2 linked regions of the Pelodiscus sinensis genome follow. The protein of the gene in region 1 interacts with the protein of each later gene in a biochemical or structural test. Links are inferred from orthologs where the notes say so. Each region holds a gene or a part of one and is shown in the gene's direction. Other genes may lie near its edges.

Region 1 (7,719 bases):
GCAAGAAAAGCCTGGTCTGCGGGGGGGGGGGCACTAGCTGCACCCCCCCACCCAGCAGACCAGGGGGACGGGAGCAAAGCCTTGGAGCACGCCCGCTGTGAGCGTGCTCCAAGGCTTTGCTCCCCGTCTCCCTCCCTCCCCCCCGCCTGGGCGGCTTTGCTCGGGTGTCCCTGGTCTGCTGGGGGGTCCAGGGGCTCTGCTGCCCCCCCCAGCAGACCAGGGGGACAGGAGCAAAGCCACCCAGGCGGGGGGAGTCCCGCTGCCTGGGCGGCTTTGCTCTGGTGTCCCTGGTCTGCTGGGGGGGGGGGGGTCCAGTGGCTTTGCTGGACCCCCCCTCCCCCAGCAGACCAGGGAGACCGGGAGAAGCTTTTCTTGCCCCAGAGGACACGGGTGGCGATCCGCCGCCCGTGAGATCCGGGGCGAGAGAAGCCCTGTTCGTAAGTGCGGATCCGATGTAAGTCGGGGACTGCCTGTACAGTATTGGAACAGAAATACACTATATAGGGGAAATCATAGCAAAATGACAGCCTAGCATACTCTAGAATAGCTCTTCTAAAGAGCCCAGTTCTGTGATGGCTTTACATTGCTGTAGCCCCGCTGAGTTCAACAGAGTTGTTCTTCAGTTGCATGTGGAAGGGAGAGGAAAATTAGGTCTTTTATGTTTATAGTAATATCAAAACTTAACAGTAGCAAAGCCACAAAAGACTCAGGAAATCAGATTTCATCTAAGAAGTCATTAAGCAGGACTGATATTTAGGAAAGTAAATTTTATATATTTATATTTCATGAGGCCTGTGATACCAGAGGAAATCATAGGTAATACCACTGCTTAATGAAGCTTCTCCACCAGAAACAACAAATGAGAGATCAGAATTGGGTCCCAGATTATATATCTTTTCTCTGGCAGATATCCTACAGCTCCATACGTTTAATAGAAGAGGGAATGCAGAAAGCTTTTGCTAAGAGGATTTGAGCCTTATTGCTTAGCTATGTTACTGGTGGCCATATTTATGTTTTACTGATATGGACACTGAAAATGAAGTGTGGAGGTGGGAGAAGCAGGATTTGGGCCAGAAGATGGTGAATGAAAGAATCCTTTTCCCTGTGCCAATTCAGGATGGAGATTTTCTGAGAGTCCACAATAACAGAGCAGCAGGTTATGAGTTAGTGTAATTGCTCTTTGTAGAAATACCCAGTGAGTAATGCTATAAATGCTTTGGTGATCATATACTGTACCTAGATCAAGACTTAGCGGCTACATCTAGACTGGCATGATTTTCCGCAAATGCTTTTAACAGAAAAGTTTTCCGTTAAAAGCATTTGCGGAAAAGAGTGTCTAGGTTGGCCCGGACACTTTTCTGCAAAAGCACTTTTTGCGGAAAAGCGTCCGTGCCAATCTAGACGCGCTTTTGCGCAAAACAAATCTGAGCTGTCTACACTGGCCCTTTTGCACAAAAGCTTTGCGCAAAAGGACTTTTGCCCGAACGGGAGCAGCATAGTATTTCCGCAAGAAGCACTGATTTCAGACAGTAGGAAGTCAGTGTTCTTGTGGAAATTCAAGTGGCCAGTGTAGACATCTGGCAAGTTTTTTCTGCAAAAGCAGCTGCTTTTGTGGAAAAACTTGCCAGTCTAGATACAGCCAGCAATAATAATTAAAACTGACTTCAGCTCACTGAAACTATTACTGTTTCAGTCAGATTGATCCCTGCGTTTTCTGGTAACACTAGAGAAAGGAAACCTAAGAGGATCAGGGAATATTCAGATAAAGGAAGGTGGAAAATATTTGTGAACAGTTGAAAAGCAAAACTACCAAAAGTATTTAAGCATCTTGTGGATCTATTGTTTGCTTTAACATCCTCACATTCTTGATGGATATATCAGTTCATATTAAGTTGAAACCAGAACAAACCCTACATCTTTGCTGTCTGAGGTCAAGGAGAATTTGACATTGAAGTAAATAGGAACAGGGTGGGGCCCTGTATGTTAATGAAACAAAGTGCAAAACTTTGGTTTCATTTTTATTATAGTTTCATTTTCTTCTGACTGAGGAATTTCATGCCATGATAGTGTACAGAACACTAACTTTAAAACATGCATATTTTCTCCCTCTATGTTTATTCTAAGGGGAGGAGCTCTCTCATATCAATAATTTAATACATAACATACCTATTTTATGGTCAACAGCATTTTTCATATTAAACATATTTCCTTGCCAATGATGATAGTAGAAGTAATGAAGCTGCATGAAGCAAAAGTATCGGTCTGCTTAGTATTATATTATACCTGTGAAACACTGATCATGACCATTTTTAGTGACACTTAAAACAGGTTAACAATATTTATCTTTGTTAGGTGTTTCTCACCAATCTGAAAGATGAAGTAATGTATTTAATCTTCCAAATTGCCTCATTTGTGTGACTTTGTTCAATTTAATTAAAAATGTTCAAAATAAAATTCCATCGATAATACAAGTAGGTAAACAATTCTGGGTAGTTGCTGAAGTTTCTGTATTACACTCAAGGTAATGTAGCAAAATAGCTTCCCATAATAACTCCATGTTTCCAGAACTTTCCACAACATTTACATTTTGGGATGAAATTCTCCATGTTTACCTTCTGTCTTTTTGTGAGACTGAGCAAAGTCCTTCCAGCTATTTTTGGATGTGGCATGAGTGAAAAAAATACCCCTTTGCTGTATAAACAATTTAACTACAAGGCTACTTTAGAAAACAGCTGAAGTTTGAAGCTTGAAACTAGTCATAGACAAGTCCCCAGTCCCCAAGAAAGAGTAATTTTTGTTGTTGTTGTTAGTAAAATAATTGCAAAAATAAAATTGGATTTACAAAAATAAAACCTTGTGAAGGGTGTAAACTGGCTGAGATATTTACAGTTCCTGCAGATGTGTACTTAAAGAGGGGTGACAACTATATGAGTGCACAGTTAGGTTGTGTGCAGCAACTGATGTTTTAGAACTTGCAAGGGATCTAAAACTGAACAAATAACTGGAATAAAGAATTTGGCATTAGAATCTATAAATCCAATTATACCAGGTCAGGGTGTTACAAGGAACAAATGTACCTACACACTGCAAAGATGATCTAAAGTATGCAAGCCAGATTTTCTCTGTCTAACCCCACCCCATTCTCCTTAAAAAGTAGGAAATTAAATGCAAAATGCCATTGTTAATGAAGTGTTTAAATTTGTGAAATGAAGCCATGCAAAAGTCATGACATTTACAATTTTAAAGTTATCAATGTTAGATTATCCCCAATGCACATAGATAGCCCCTTATTAAATGCAGACCTTAAAGTAGTACTCTTGCGTGTTAATACATTGTATGTATTTACTGATGTATATCATAATATGCATACACACTCAGTACACAAAGTGGCTGAATTAACATGGCTTGAATGCCTGAGTTTACAAGTTAAAGTTGTGTTCATGCTATTTTTGTATGTATATGTAAGTATAATGTTGTGTATATGTGTGCGTGTCTTCGTGAATACTGAAGTGCATTAAATTATATCTTAACTTTGTTTCGTGGCTGTTAGAAAATAAAGTAGGATGTGAACTGAAAAAAGGAAAACCTTCTCCTCCCCGTAAGGCTTCAGTCTTTCTCCTCCCTGAAGCCAGAAGGATGTTAGTTGCTATGTTTTAAAAAGGCTATTTTTTTAACTCCCTGATGTATCAGGAAAGGGGGTCTTTAATCTTTCCGGCTAAAAATTAACGTCAGCCCACTCAGTTTGTGCACTGACCATTTAGGGGCTCTGCAATCGGGGAAGCACATCGCTGTGACGAAGCTCATATTTTCAATTCTTTTGCAAGCTTCAAAAACTAGCGCAAAGAGGGTTTTGCTTTTCTGAATAAAAAGCCCCTCTCGCCCACACCCCCGATTCCTAAGAAAGCCTGGGAAGATGCGGAATAACACACGCCCCGTGCCGAAGCGCCCGAGGAAGCACGTTCCCGCCGCACGGGGGAAGGGAATGGAGAAGTGAATCTTCTCTAGAAATCATGATCGGACAGTTTTTGGAGGGGAAGCTACCTGGGCTTTCTGCCCTTTCCAAAAGGACCTCGAGTCTCTCAGTGAAATGCCCTCCCCTCCGAGGGCTACGGCCCTTCTCTCCTCGCACACCTCAGCTAAATCTCCAGTGGGGACGAAAACTTCCAAGAAGGCGCGAGAGGCACCGGCGCGGATTGTGGCAGTGTCAACGCGCGAGCCCCACGCTGCTCCCCTTGCACAGGGGCAGCCCAGCAAGGCTGGCGCTCGTACACACCCTGTTCACACACACAGCGGCGCGGTAGCAGGGAGGCTAAAGGGCCGCACAAATGCCTGATGCACAATTGCACGTTCCCCCCCTACACACGGAGAGATCGGATGGGGGATTTTCCAGCCGTTAAATGGCTACAGAATCCAAGCCTTTCCCAAAGGAGCCCTTCAACGGACCAGTTCTACCCCTAATTCCGCCTGTCTGTCATTGCCATCCCGGCGCCGCAGGCTGCCAGCGATTCGCAGTCACGCAGGTAGCTTGGTCTCCATTGGCTCCGCAGGGTGACACGCAGCTGCCGGAGTTAACATCTGGCGGCGCGCCCAGGCGGCAGCAGTCCTCTTATGGGGCGTGTGCGTTCCAGCCAGCTCCCTGGCTCCTCCTCCCGGCCGGGACCGGGAGCGTCTTGCATCACCGCCCGGTGCGCGCTGCTCCCCCGCCTCCTCCGGCCCGGCTATTAATAGCATGACATCAGCCAGGCGCTCGCCGCCAGAGTAAATACCAGCGCTGCCCACTCGCCTATATAAGGAGGGTGATGCAACCCCTCGCACAGGCAGATTCAGGCGCGTCCGGGGAAGGAGGCTCTGCTCTCCTATCGGCGAACTCGGAACTGCCCGGCAGCGGCGCCCCCAGCCCGAGAGACGCGGGCAGCCCCTGCTTTCAGCGCGGGCTCGCTCCTCGCTGCGCTCGGCCCCTCTGTGCTTGTCCCGGCAGCGGAGAGGCGCCGTGAGAAGCGGCGGGGAAAGGTCAGTGAGCTGGGGAAGGGAGGCGGGCGGGCGGCGGCGAGGAGACCGCGACTCAGTCAGCTGGTTCTCCCGGGAGCGTCGGCACTTTGCTAAGCGACTGATCCCAGCCAGGGGACAGGGTCTGCCCGGGCCAGTCGGGCGGGCTGGCGGCTTTGCGATCGGATCGTCCGCAGAGCCACAAGTGAAAGCAAAAGCTCGCTGGGCAGAGCGGCGTTTCTGAGTCCTGGAGCCACGCGCACCAAAGAGACCCCCCCCCCCTTCTGCCGCTTGGGAGCCTGGCACGCGCCCTGCCCCCGGGCACGGCTCGGGAGCCCCCTGTGACACCGAACAAGTTCTCACAGGAGTCCGAGCCCCCCTTGCGCGTCACCGGCCGGAGCCTTGGGCTTTATCAGTCGAGCCCGGAGCGGCACTTGTGGAGCGGGGCAGATGTCGCATCTGGCCACCCCCTTCTTCCGGGCGGCGAGTTTGCCGATGTGAGCGCCCGCAGTTGCTCTCTTGGCTGCTTCATTCGTTTCTCTTGGGCCGGGGTAGCGCCGGAGGCCACGGGGAGGAGGGGGGGGGGGCGCATCGCTCGACAGTAAGAGCGCGGCTCTGCTTGTCGGCGGGACGCCCATCGCTCCTGAGCTGCTGCCAAAGTTTTGCCAAAGTAATGTAGAGAAAAAAGTTAGTGACGAAGCTCAAGGCACCCTCTGACTTCTGTAATGAGGTAACGGCGATGACTGTGTCGGTTGAGATGAAGGATACACATAACTCCCAAATGAAGCTCTTTTCCTTTGTTATTTTGGGGGAACAGTGACCTCTTTTGATTAGAGTACACACAGACAAGAAGTCATGTCATCCTGCGAGGGGATGAAGAATTAGCGAGAAAGTCACTATTAGACAATAATCGTCGTTTTTTCTCCACTGACGACTAACCCGAACAAGATCAGTTGCTGAACTGTTGCCTAACTAGGATTGAGTGACGACGCAACAGAAAACTGTTACACACAGAACCAGTTTCCTGTGTGAAATCGATTTTCTTGGTAGTAACAACAGCAGAGACGTTCGAAGCCTGAAAAAGAGGTAGTTATGATCTGGAATGTCAGAATCCTAAAGGCCAATTTGAGTACACAGAGGTTGTGAACGGTAATTGCCCTTTAATGCCCTGTCAGATTAACCTGTTTGGCTCTCATCGTTTATTACGTCAGCAGCCGAGGAAAATGAATTTATCTAGGGAAATACAGCTAAGTCATCTGCAGTTAAACCAAATGGAAGCTAGGAGTGAGGGTGCCCTGAAGTGTTAATTATTAATATTAGCATTAAACTTGAGCACACTTTAAATAACATAAATGCTAGTTTGGACTTCCAAGAATGTGTCCTGACACAACTTCTCAGAATGGGAGAGGGGAAAACTAAAAGCAGTGGGGAAATTATTAATAAAATAACTATAAATGGAAGGAAGCATTAGTTTTGAAAATTATCTCTGAATAACTAGCAATGTATCCTGTCTGTTATAGAAACAAAACTGTCTAATGGGATCTTATTTGTAAAACTTATTATTTTGTCTTGATCATAAGATTCTGATGGAGGAGTGAGCACTTGCTCCAGGGATGAATTGAGCCTCTGTGGTCCTATTCTGTGGGGTGTTCAGCACCTCCATCTTCCACTTCAGTGAAAGATAAAGATGTTCAGCACCTTACCAAGTGGGATCTATGTAGTTGTATGGACTTGTAGTTAAACAGAAAGGCCTAGATGTCATTTTTTTTCTTGGGTTAATTATAGAGCAAGTCCAATTGTGTTAGTGCTTTACAAAGTGAACCAGGTCCTTGACCCAAATAACTTATAGCCTTAGATAATTTATAGGAAAATGACTGGGGAAAAAAGGATGCAAAACAAAATGTTTAACTTTTGCTTGTTCTATCTTGAATAAAAAATGTTTCTAACCAGAGGATGATATCAACATTACAATTTTATATCTATTTACCAAGTATACATCTAGCATTCTGTACTTCTGATGTAGTCTACCCAGAAGTGATGTCAGTGATTAACTAGTGGCTGGGCTGGAGCAACTTCTCGCCCACCTGTGGTGCAGTGCGGTAGGCCCAGCTGGACTAGCCCCCAGCCTCAGGCAGGCTGCAGCTCAGCCTGGCCCGCCATGCTGTGGGCGGTGGATGCTCCATCCAGCTGAAGCAGCCTCCACCTGAAGTAGGCCCTGACCACAGTCTCTGTACTTCTGATATGGTTCTGATTTATCATTATTTGTATTCTCATAGTGTCTGGAACCCCATGGAGCAGAACCCTACTGGGCTAGGCACTATACAAACAAGACAAAAAGACAGTCTCTGTCCCAAAAGAGCTTACAAAACAGGTCACCAAAACCAAAAAAGTTGAAAGTAGCAGCAAAATCCACCAAAGAAAAACTAACCCAAAACAATATTCCCACAAACCTACCTGCCCACAATCTTCAGCCCCTTCATGAATAGCAGTGTCTTTCAGGATGTTGGAAGGTCAGGAGACTTGGGCAATTTCAGGCCAAGGGGAAGTGCAAGTTCTGAAGTCAAGGGTGACTGTAGAAAACAGTCTCCCATTACTCTTAAATCATGGAGACATCAGTAAAAGCAAATAAAGTTATAAAAGGGATTCTAGCAAAATTTTGTTGCTAGTGGATATTTGAAAATAACTCCTCCAATTACTAATGAAAATCCAGCATGGACAATATTTCTCATGATA
Region 2 (7,981 bases), on another chromosome or scaffold:
ACACAGTAATATCCTTACGCGTTATTTAGTAGCAATTCCCAAGCAAGCAGAATACACGTGCTAAGCACACAGTGGCATGCGCACCCATCCTGAGAAAGACACGGAAACGTCCCCTTTTGGCCAGGCTAGGTCAGTCTCTCTGGATCCTGGTCATGCAGAGGAGTCCTGGCAGCTCTGGTCGTAGGCTGTGACTTAGAATCACAGAATCACAGAACCGGAAGGGACCTCAAGAGGCCATCGAGTCCAGTCCCCTGCCCTCACGGCAGCACCACATCAGCCCTGACAGGCGTCTGTCCAACCTGCTCTTAAATGTCTCCAGTGATGGAGTTTCCACAACCTCCCCAGGCAATTTATTCCAGTGTTTAACCACCCTGACAGGCAGGAAGTTTTTCCTGATGTCCGACCTGAACCGCCCTTGCTGCAGTTTAAGCCCATTGCTTCTTGTCCTGTCCTCGGATGCCACGGAGAACAATTTTTATCCCTCCTCCTTGTTAACACCTTTTAGGTTCTTGGAGGTGAGTTCTTCCTCCAGTTCCTTCCTTCTTTCTGTTTCTTTCTTCCCTTTCCTTCTTGGACCCCAGTTTATATAGTGAAATTGGAGTCCTGCTTAGCAATACCGTAACCGATTATTTGTACTACAATTTTACCCACCTGTTGCCCCATACAGTAACAGAATTACCTACCATTGCTACCCCATCACCTTCATCGATTTACACCTAGCAAAATTATCTATGCAGCAGACGAAAATAATCACAAACCAGACAGAGTTCATCCAGGCAAACAGTCGGACAGTGAGAACCACAATCATAGCCTGAGGATTCGACAGCCACAATTATTGATACGGAGTTTCTTGCCAGACTGAACGGTGTTAAATTACATTTTATTTACCCATCTTGAGATCTGTTTCTTTACCTGGCCATACTGGGCACCATTATGATGGGCGCTCCTTCTTAGCAGCCTGATATGACCCTGTTTTAATGCAATGTAGATGGAACATGAGTATGGAACTCCCTGCTTTACGATTAATGGCCGTTTCAGTCCAGCTGCAGATAAAAGCCCTATGCTTTAGGCCAGGGGAGGGGAACTTAAAGCCTGGGGGCTGGATGCTTCCTCTGACTTGTCTGGATCCAGCCCCCCAGGCTCAGGGCTCCCCCCCCAGCAGTGGGGAGCCCACACTGATGCAGACCGGCAGACTGATGCTCACTTGGCCTGCTAGCTGCGTGTGGCCATTGTAGGTTAGGCATCTGCCTGGGCTCAACTCGAGTGGCAGACGTAGGGGCTGGAGAACTCACGCTGCAGCGTCCCCACGGCTATTCATGGTGCACTACTCTGAGCCCCGCTAGCCCCCCGCTAGTGGCCGTCCCGGCGCATTCGCATGGCCATAGACAGCGGCGTTTCCCGTTAGCTCGTCTGCCTTTGACGGCTGAAAGACGTGCACCCATCGCCTAAGGCACTAGGGGCATCCCCCAAAAACTACAGCTCATCACCTCGCACCTCCCCACTACCGGCTGTGAAAAAGCCATTCCTGGACTTTCTAGCTAGAGGATTTAGAAACTCAGGGGCTGCTTCCTTCAGCCGGTAACCTGAGCCAGGAGCCAGGACGGCCTGGCCACATGGCCAGACTCAGGCAAAGGCCTGGTGCCACGCCCCAAATTTAGCACACGCGGGCTGGGGGCCAGGGGGGAGGGAAGCAAGAGGCAGAGTCAAGGGGCCTCTGCCAGCAGCTGCCAGATGTTCACATCTAGGGTCTGAGTAGGAGCGCCTGGGCTGACCTTGGCTCGGGGCCATGGAGGCAGTAGTCAGAGCCCAACCCACATAAGGCCATAAACCTCCTTTGGGAGACAGACCTGGAAGGGGGCCCCACTGACGAGCCGAGACCGGTGCGGCGGCGTTCACAGCTCCGGCAAGAGAGGCAAAGTCCTTGAGCACCGGGTGTCTTCCGAGTGCTCTTCAACCAGAACAATCCTCAGCCGGGGTTCTGGGGTGGCTCTGAGCAGTTTCTTGGTTCTTGCTCGCGTCCTCGGGGTCTAGCTGGTCACCCTGCGTGAGCTGAGGCAGGAATTTCCCCCAGGTCAGCACGGCAGGGAACTTGGAAGGGTTTTGCCTTCCTAGGCAGGTGCAGGTGTCTTGCCTGGATTCTCTGGCTGTATCTCAGTGCCTCTGGCTGGGACCCACAGCCCTGCCTCCTGCCGTGTGGGATCAGCTGGTGGGGTCAGCGTGTGTGCAGGCTGGGGCTAGTGATCTGTGCTATCCAGGAGTTCAGATGAGACCATCGAGTCCTTGCTTGCCTGAAGCTCTGGGACTCTGCGTCTCGTGGGCTCCAGCCCATGTGTTTGTGCCAGATCCCAGGCTGGTGGGGGGAAGGGCGGTGTGCAATCCTTTATTGCCAATAAATACACAACGAAAATGCTGGCGAAGGTCTGTGTGCCGCGGCGTTCTCCCTGCTGGAAGCCAGCCACCCTCTCTGCATGGGTTGCTAGGCCGGGTCGGTTAGAGCCCAAACATCACCAGTTTGGGCAGGAATAAGCGTGTAGCGGCTGGCGAGGGTTTGTCTGAACGCAGCACTGCCACTCACGCTTCGACATGCTTGGCAAAGAGGCCAGGCCTCCCGGACACCTTCGGGAGAAGCGCCGCTCCCTCCGCCCCTACCTGTCTGACTGCCGCTTCTGTCTTTCATTCCCCAACGAGTTACACTGCATTTTTAATGGAGCCCTAGGAGATTAACCCTTGGCTGCCTCAGCGTGCACTCCAGCCCGGGTGCAAACAGCACAAGGCCAGTCCCTCCGCTTTGGGCTTGGTGCATTTCAGAGGCGTGGTGCAGGTCGCTGGGGGGGGAGAGCCCATTGGTGGGCACTGGGTTGAGTGTTTCCAATGCAGAGAAAAGCATAGAACAGGTACATGCAGAACTCTGGAACACAGAACCTTGTAAAAGAAGGATTCGGCCACTGTCGGAGTTGTTTCCAGTTCATTGCCAAAGTGCCCTGGGTGCTACATTAACTCTTTGTGGGTACCCAGCTCTCCAGGAACATACCCCCTGCCCCTGCATATCCCAAAAGGCCTTGCATTGGGGCAGCTTTCTCCAGTCAAGCAAAGGCAGGTGAAGGCAGAAGCGGGGCTGCTCCTTGGGGGCTGAGCATGCTGCCTCTACCGCAGCGGTTCTCACAGTGTGGGTCAGGCACAGGCCCCCTAAGTGGGTCACAGAAACCCATTTTAGTGGGGCTGCCAGGGCTGGCTTGGGGGTGCTGTGCCTTGAACGAAAGCCAAAGCCTGAGAACTTTAGCGCAAGACACCAAGATGGCAGGGCTCAGGCAGGCTACATTTCGGTCCCCCCTCCTGGGGTCACATTCATTTTTGTTGTCAGTAAGAGGTGGCAGTGCAGTGGCATCTGGGAACCCCCGCTCTACAGCAATCCCTGTCGGTATCTGGGCTGCAGAGGGATTTGGCTCCCTCCATCGCCCCGAGTCAGGGCAACAAACACAAACTTGTTCAACTGAAAGGAGTTCAGTGGCTTTTCCGGGGTCCTCGGCTTGTGACCTCCCCCAGCAGCACCCATGAACCAATCTCTTCCTGGCTTAGTCACAAGTCATGATAAAGGAGGAAATCTTCCTTCAGCCCTACCAGATACTGAGTAGGGGAATCACCACCAGCCAGTGCTCCCTGTAAGCTGAGTGCTTGGGTGGCTGCCCAGGAGAGATTCAGGTGCCACCCAGCTGATTGGCAGAGTGCCCTTAGCTGACCACAGCCAGCAGCATGTTTCTATTGGTGGTGCACATCTGCATGTGCTTTGGTGCACATAACACAATTTATTCCGCTTGTGGATGGAAAACTTAAGAGGGAACATCGCCACTGTCTCATGTTTTTCTATTCTTATGGCAAATTGCAAAGACCTAGGGAAGGAGTTAATTGTGTTGGTTGGCTCCCCCACAGGTGTTTCAGTGAAGTCGGGAGGCAGGGCAGGGAATTGAAGGCCCAATGAAGAAATGGTCTAAAGCAGCTGACAAACCCAGAGAGGGAGCTGGCAGGTTGCTGTGCAGCTGAGGTGGTTTATGCTGCTTGTATACTTGAAGGCCTTAGCGAGGGAAAGGTTTGTTTTGCTGCGATGCCGGCTGACCCTGCCTGGCTGCTACACCAATGGATGTTTTCCAGGGTTCTATTATATGGAGCTTTCATTGTTCTGTTCTTGAGTGACAGCTGAACTCTCCGCTCTTCCTTTCTGCTTTGGATTTTTACCTTTACAAATCCCATCCCCTTTTTGCATCCAACTCATTACACCTCCCTAGAGCCTCCTTCCCCTGCACCAGCCTGGAAGGCACCCATACCTGCCCTTCACCACCCCACAGCTTTCCAGCCTGTCAACCCTGCCGTGGGTGCCACGAAACTACAAGGAGTTGCCATGGAGAGTGTAAATGGAGTCAAAACATCCCCTGCAAGGTGAGGGTTGGCCTGGAGCGTCTGGCACCTGCTTCCTGCTTGCAAGTGGGAGCCAGCTGGGATGCTGGCTGCCCAAAGGGGGCATGAGGCTCAGTCCCAACCCATGCAGAAGCCAAAGGGGCATTGCACGGTTTGGCAGGGAGCTGGGGCCAGCAGCTGATCCGGTGCCCCGGGTTTGCAGAGCCTGGGTTGCAGCAGCGGAGCCTCACGGGCTTGCCCCGCTCCCAGCTGCAGCAGGGCACTGGATCCCATGGGTCCTGGGGGGCAGCCTGAGCCGGGCTGAGCTCCAGGCTCGGCAGCTCCCCGCGCGCCTATAAATATCCCAGGCAGGGCCCGCTGTGCAAACACCCCGCCCTCTATGACATCAACCCAGCAGGCCGCGCGCTGTTGTGCAGTTTACAAGCCGGTCGCCATGGGGACGGGGGCGCCAGGAGGGGGCGGGGCGGCCAGGCCCCGCCCCATGCAAATACGCCCCGGCGAGAACGTCATCTACGGCCAATCCCCGCCGCGCGCGGTGACCTCATCGGGCAGGCGCTGGGTATTTAAGGCAGCGCGGGGCGGCCCCCGACGCGTGTGTGCGAGAGAGAAGAGCGCGGGGCGCGTCCAGCCTGCACCGCCAGCTCCCCGGGGCCGCTGCAGCCGCACCGGGACCGACCCTCCCCCAGCGGCCGGGGCAGCCGGGCCCCGCAGCATCCCCGGGGCAGCTGGACCGGGACCGCCCCCCACCCCGGCAGCCGGGCCCTGCAACGCCCCCCGGGGCTGCTCCAGCCGGACCGGGACCGGTGCCCGCAGCGCGGCCCGGCGCCCCTTGGGCGCAGCAGCCCGGCGCCCCCCGCAGCCGGCGGGGGAGGATGGAAATACCCTTCTACCATGATGATGTGTTGAGCGGCTTCGGCAGCGGCTCGGCCCCGTCCCGCGGCAGCAGCAGCGGCCTCCCCTTCCCCTTCCCCGGCGGCAGCATGATGAAGAAGGACGGGCTCGGCTTGGCGCTCAGCGACCAGGTGGTGGCCACCCTGAAGGCGCCCGGCCAGGCGCACCATCCGCTGCGGGGCGCGGGCGGCGAGGGCCCGGCCCTGCTGGGCTCGGCCGACCTCGGGCTGCTGAAGCTGGGCTCGCCGGAGCTGGAGCGGCTCATCATCCAGAACGGGCTGGTCACCACCACGCCGACCAGCAGCCAGTTCCTCTACCCCAAGGTGGCGGCCAGCGAGGAGCAGGAGTTCGCCGAGGGCTTCGTCAAGGCGCTGGAGGACTTGCACAAGCAGAACCAGCTGGGGGCGGGCGGCGGGGCTCCCGGGGACCTGCCCCCCGCCGCCAGCCTGGCCCAGCCGCCGCCGCCGCCCCCGGAGCCGCCGGTCTACGCCAACCTGAGCAGCTACCCGGGCCCGGCCGCCAGCTACGCCGCCGAGACCGTGCCCTACCCGCCGCCGCCCGGGCTGGGGGGCGCCCCGCAGCACCCCCGCCTCCAGCCGCCGCTCAAGGACGAGCCGCAGACGGTGCCCGAGGCGCCCAGCTTCGGCGACAGCCCCCCGCTCTCGCCCATCGACATGGACACGCAGGAGCGCATCAAGGCGGAGCGCAAGCGGCTGCGCAACCGCATCGCCGCCTCCAAGTGCCGCAAGAGGAAGCTGGAGCGCATCTCGCGGCTGGAGGAGAAGGTCAAGAGCCTCAAGAGCCAGAACACCGAGCTGGCCTCCACCGCCAGCCTGCTGCGCGAGCAGGTGGCGCAGCTCAAGCAGAAGGTGCTGAGCCACGTCAACAGCGGCTGCCAGCTGCTGCCGCAGCCCCAGCACCAGGTGCCGGCCTATTGAGCACCCCGAGGGGAGCCGGGGACGTGGCCGCCGTGCGCCCCCCAGGCTCTTCCTTTGGCTGCGGGAGCCGGGCAGGACTCTGGAAGCGCCTCGGCTTCGCGGCGGGGCGCGGAGCCGCCCTCCTGCGGCAGGACTCGCCCGCCCCCGGCGCGGACTCTCGAACTAGCCGGGGCTTTGGACATGCTGGGCGCTCCGAGCGCACGGAGCCCAGAGACTGCAGCGCTGCCTGGGCGGGGGCGGCGCCCGGCTGGGAGCTCGAGTGTTTGTTTGACGTGTTTTTTCTTTGCTCTATTTATGTTTATACTGGGCCCAATGTCCCTCCCCACCCCCCCTTGTTCGAGGCCACATTCCAGTGTGCAGTAAAGTCTCGTGCCAGGAGCTGTCTGCTGTGTCTCGCCTGCTGGGCTTGGGTTCTTGCTTCCCCAGGGAGGGAGGCTGACCTCAAGGGAGGGGAAGCTGTACTTGCTGGGGGTGGGGGGTGCAAAGCGTGGGTAAGTGTGCCCCCTCTTGCCTGTTGTGGAAACTGCACCTCAGATTGGTCCCATTGGTTGGGGGGGCGGGGGGGGAGTGTTAAGCCTGTTCTGGAGAACCTACCCCAAGTGACGCCTTTCGGGAGGGGATGTGGTGGGATGTTCCAACAGCAGCTAGTGATGGCGGTACTCGACAGTGTTCAACTTCTTGCCAGGGTGTGCCCAGTCCGTTTTAAAGTCCACTGGTTTGTTTCAGGCTCTTTTCCCTTGGTGGGTTGTGGCCGTGGTTCCTGGAGTCTAAATTCCTATAATGGCAATAGAGTCCCTTGGCGGGACAAAAAAAAAACGAACAGTCGGGGTCATTTGGGCCTGACGTGCGCAACGGGGCTAGAAAGAAGGAACTTGGTTGAAACAGAAAATGGCAGTTGTGCAGAGCTGCTTCATTTCTTAGAAACCCTGTGACTAGGCAAATGGCAGTCGTCTAGCTAACTGGAATCGATTGCTCTTCCCTTTCTTCTCAGAAAAGGAATTTCAGCCGTAAAAGGCAGGGGTTGCCTGGAGTATTCAGTGCTTACAGGAAACAGCCAGAATGACCTTTCCTGGCTGGCAGCTGCCCTACTAACACTTGCAGAAAACTGGTCCCAGTGCTTAAAGGAAGATGCCTTTTCAAAGAGTGAAACTGTCTGAAAGAGTGGGTGAGATGCTACTTTCACACTGAGTATTAGTTTTTGGCAGTGCCCACAGCGGGATTGGTGGCTTCTAGACAGGACTATCCTTGCAAAATCAGGACCACAACAGCTCATTAGATGAGTTGCAGAAGAGCTAGGCTCTAATTTGACAAGACTGAGTTGCACCAAACTTTGTCCCCTTGTGTGTGTCTGCATGTCAGCCTTGTGTGTGACCTTCCATGCAGGGAAGTACTAGGGGGTTATTTTGAAAGCAGGAATTCCAGGGTTAACTTGGTTGTGTTCAAGTTAGTTTTTGGAGTGGTGGGGGGGAAGGTGAAGTACTTGAATGGTAAAGCTCCAGGTGAGAGCCAGCTGCCTTCCCACAGCTACCTGAGAGCCTTTTAAACCCTAGCCTCTTCCAGTAGGACTGAACTAGGGTGTGTACAGCTGTCTATGGTACTTGGTTGTGCAATGCGAGGCTCAGTCAGCTGACCTCACTGATACTGGTGCATAATCATAGTAGTAAACAACCAGCCAGGTGGAGATTCCAGCTCTGTACATGCCCTGGGTGGGGGGAATAAACACGAACCTTTGCCAAGGGAGG

Evidence for each region. The genes of interacting proteins can lie anywhere in the genome.
Region 2: the proteins of ATF3 (region 1) and JUND form a complex in vitro, tested with the Homo sapiens proteins (2 studies listed by BioGRID and IntAct, with this or other methods). The link is inferred for Pelodiscus sinensis from reciprocal best matches to the Homo sapiens genes ATF3 and JUND.

The regions. Positions count from the first base shown.
Region 1 is NC_134713.1:147,437,653-147,445,371, forward strand, and holds the start of ATF3 (cyclic AMP-dependent transcription factor ATF-3), read left to right. Parts: upstream 1-4,717; 5' UTR 4,718-5,010; intron 5,011-5,023; exon of another isoform or gene 5,024-6,072; intron 6,073-7,719.
Region 2 is NC_134729.1:20,092,846-20,100,826, forward strand, and holds the start of JUND (transcription factor JunD), read left to right. Parts: upstream 1-4,980; 5' UTR 4,981-5,282; coding exon 5,283-6,239; 3' UTR 6,240-7,981. UniProt on the Homo sapiens protein: Transcription factor binding AP-1 sites.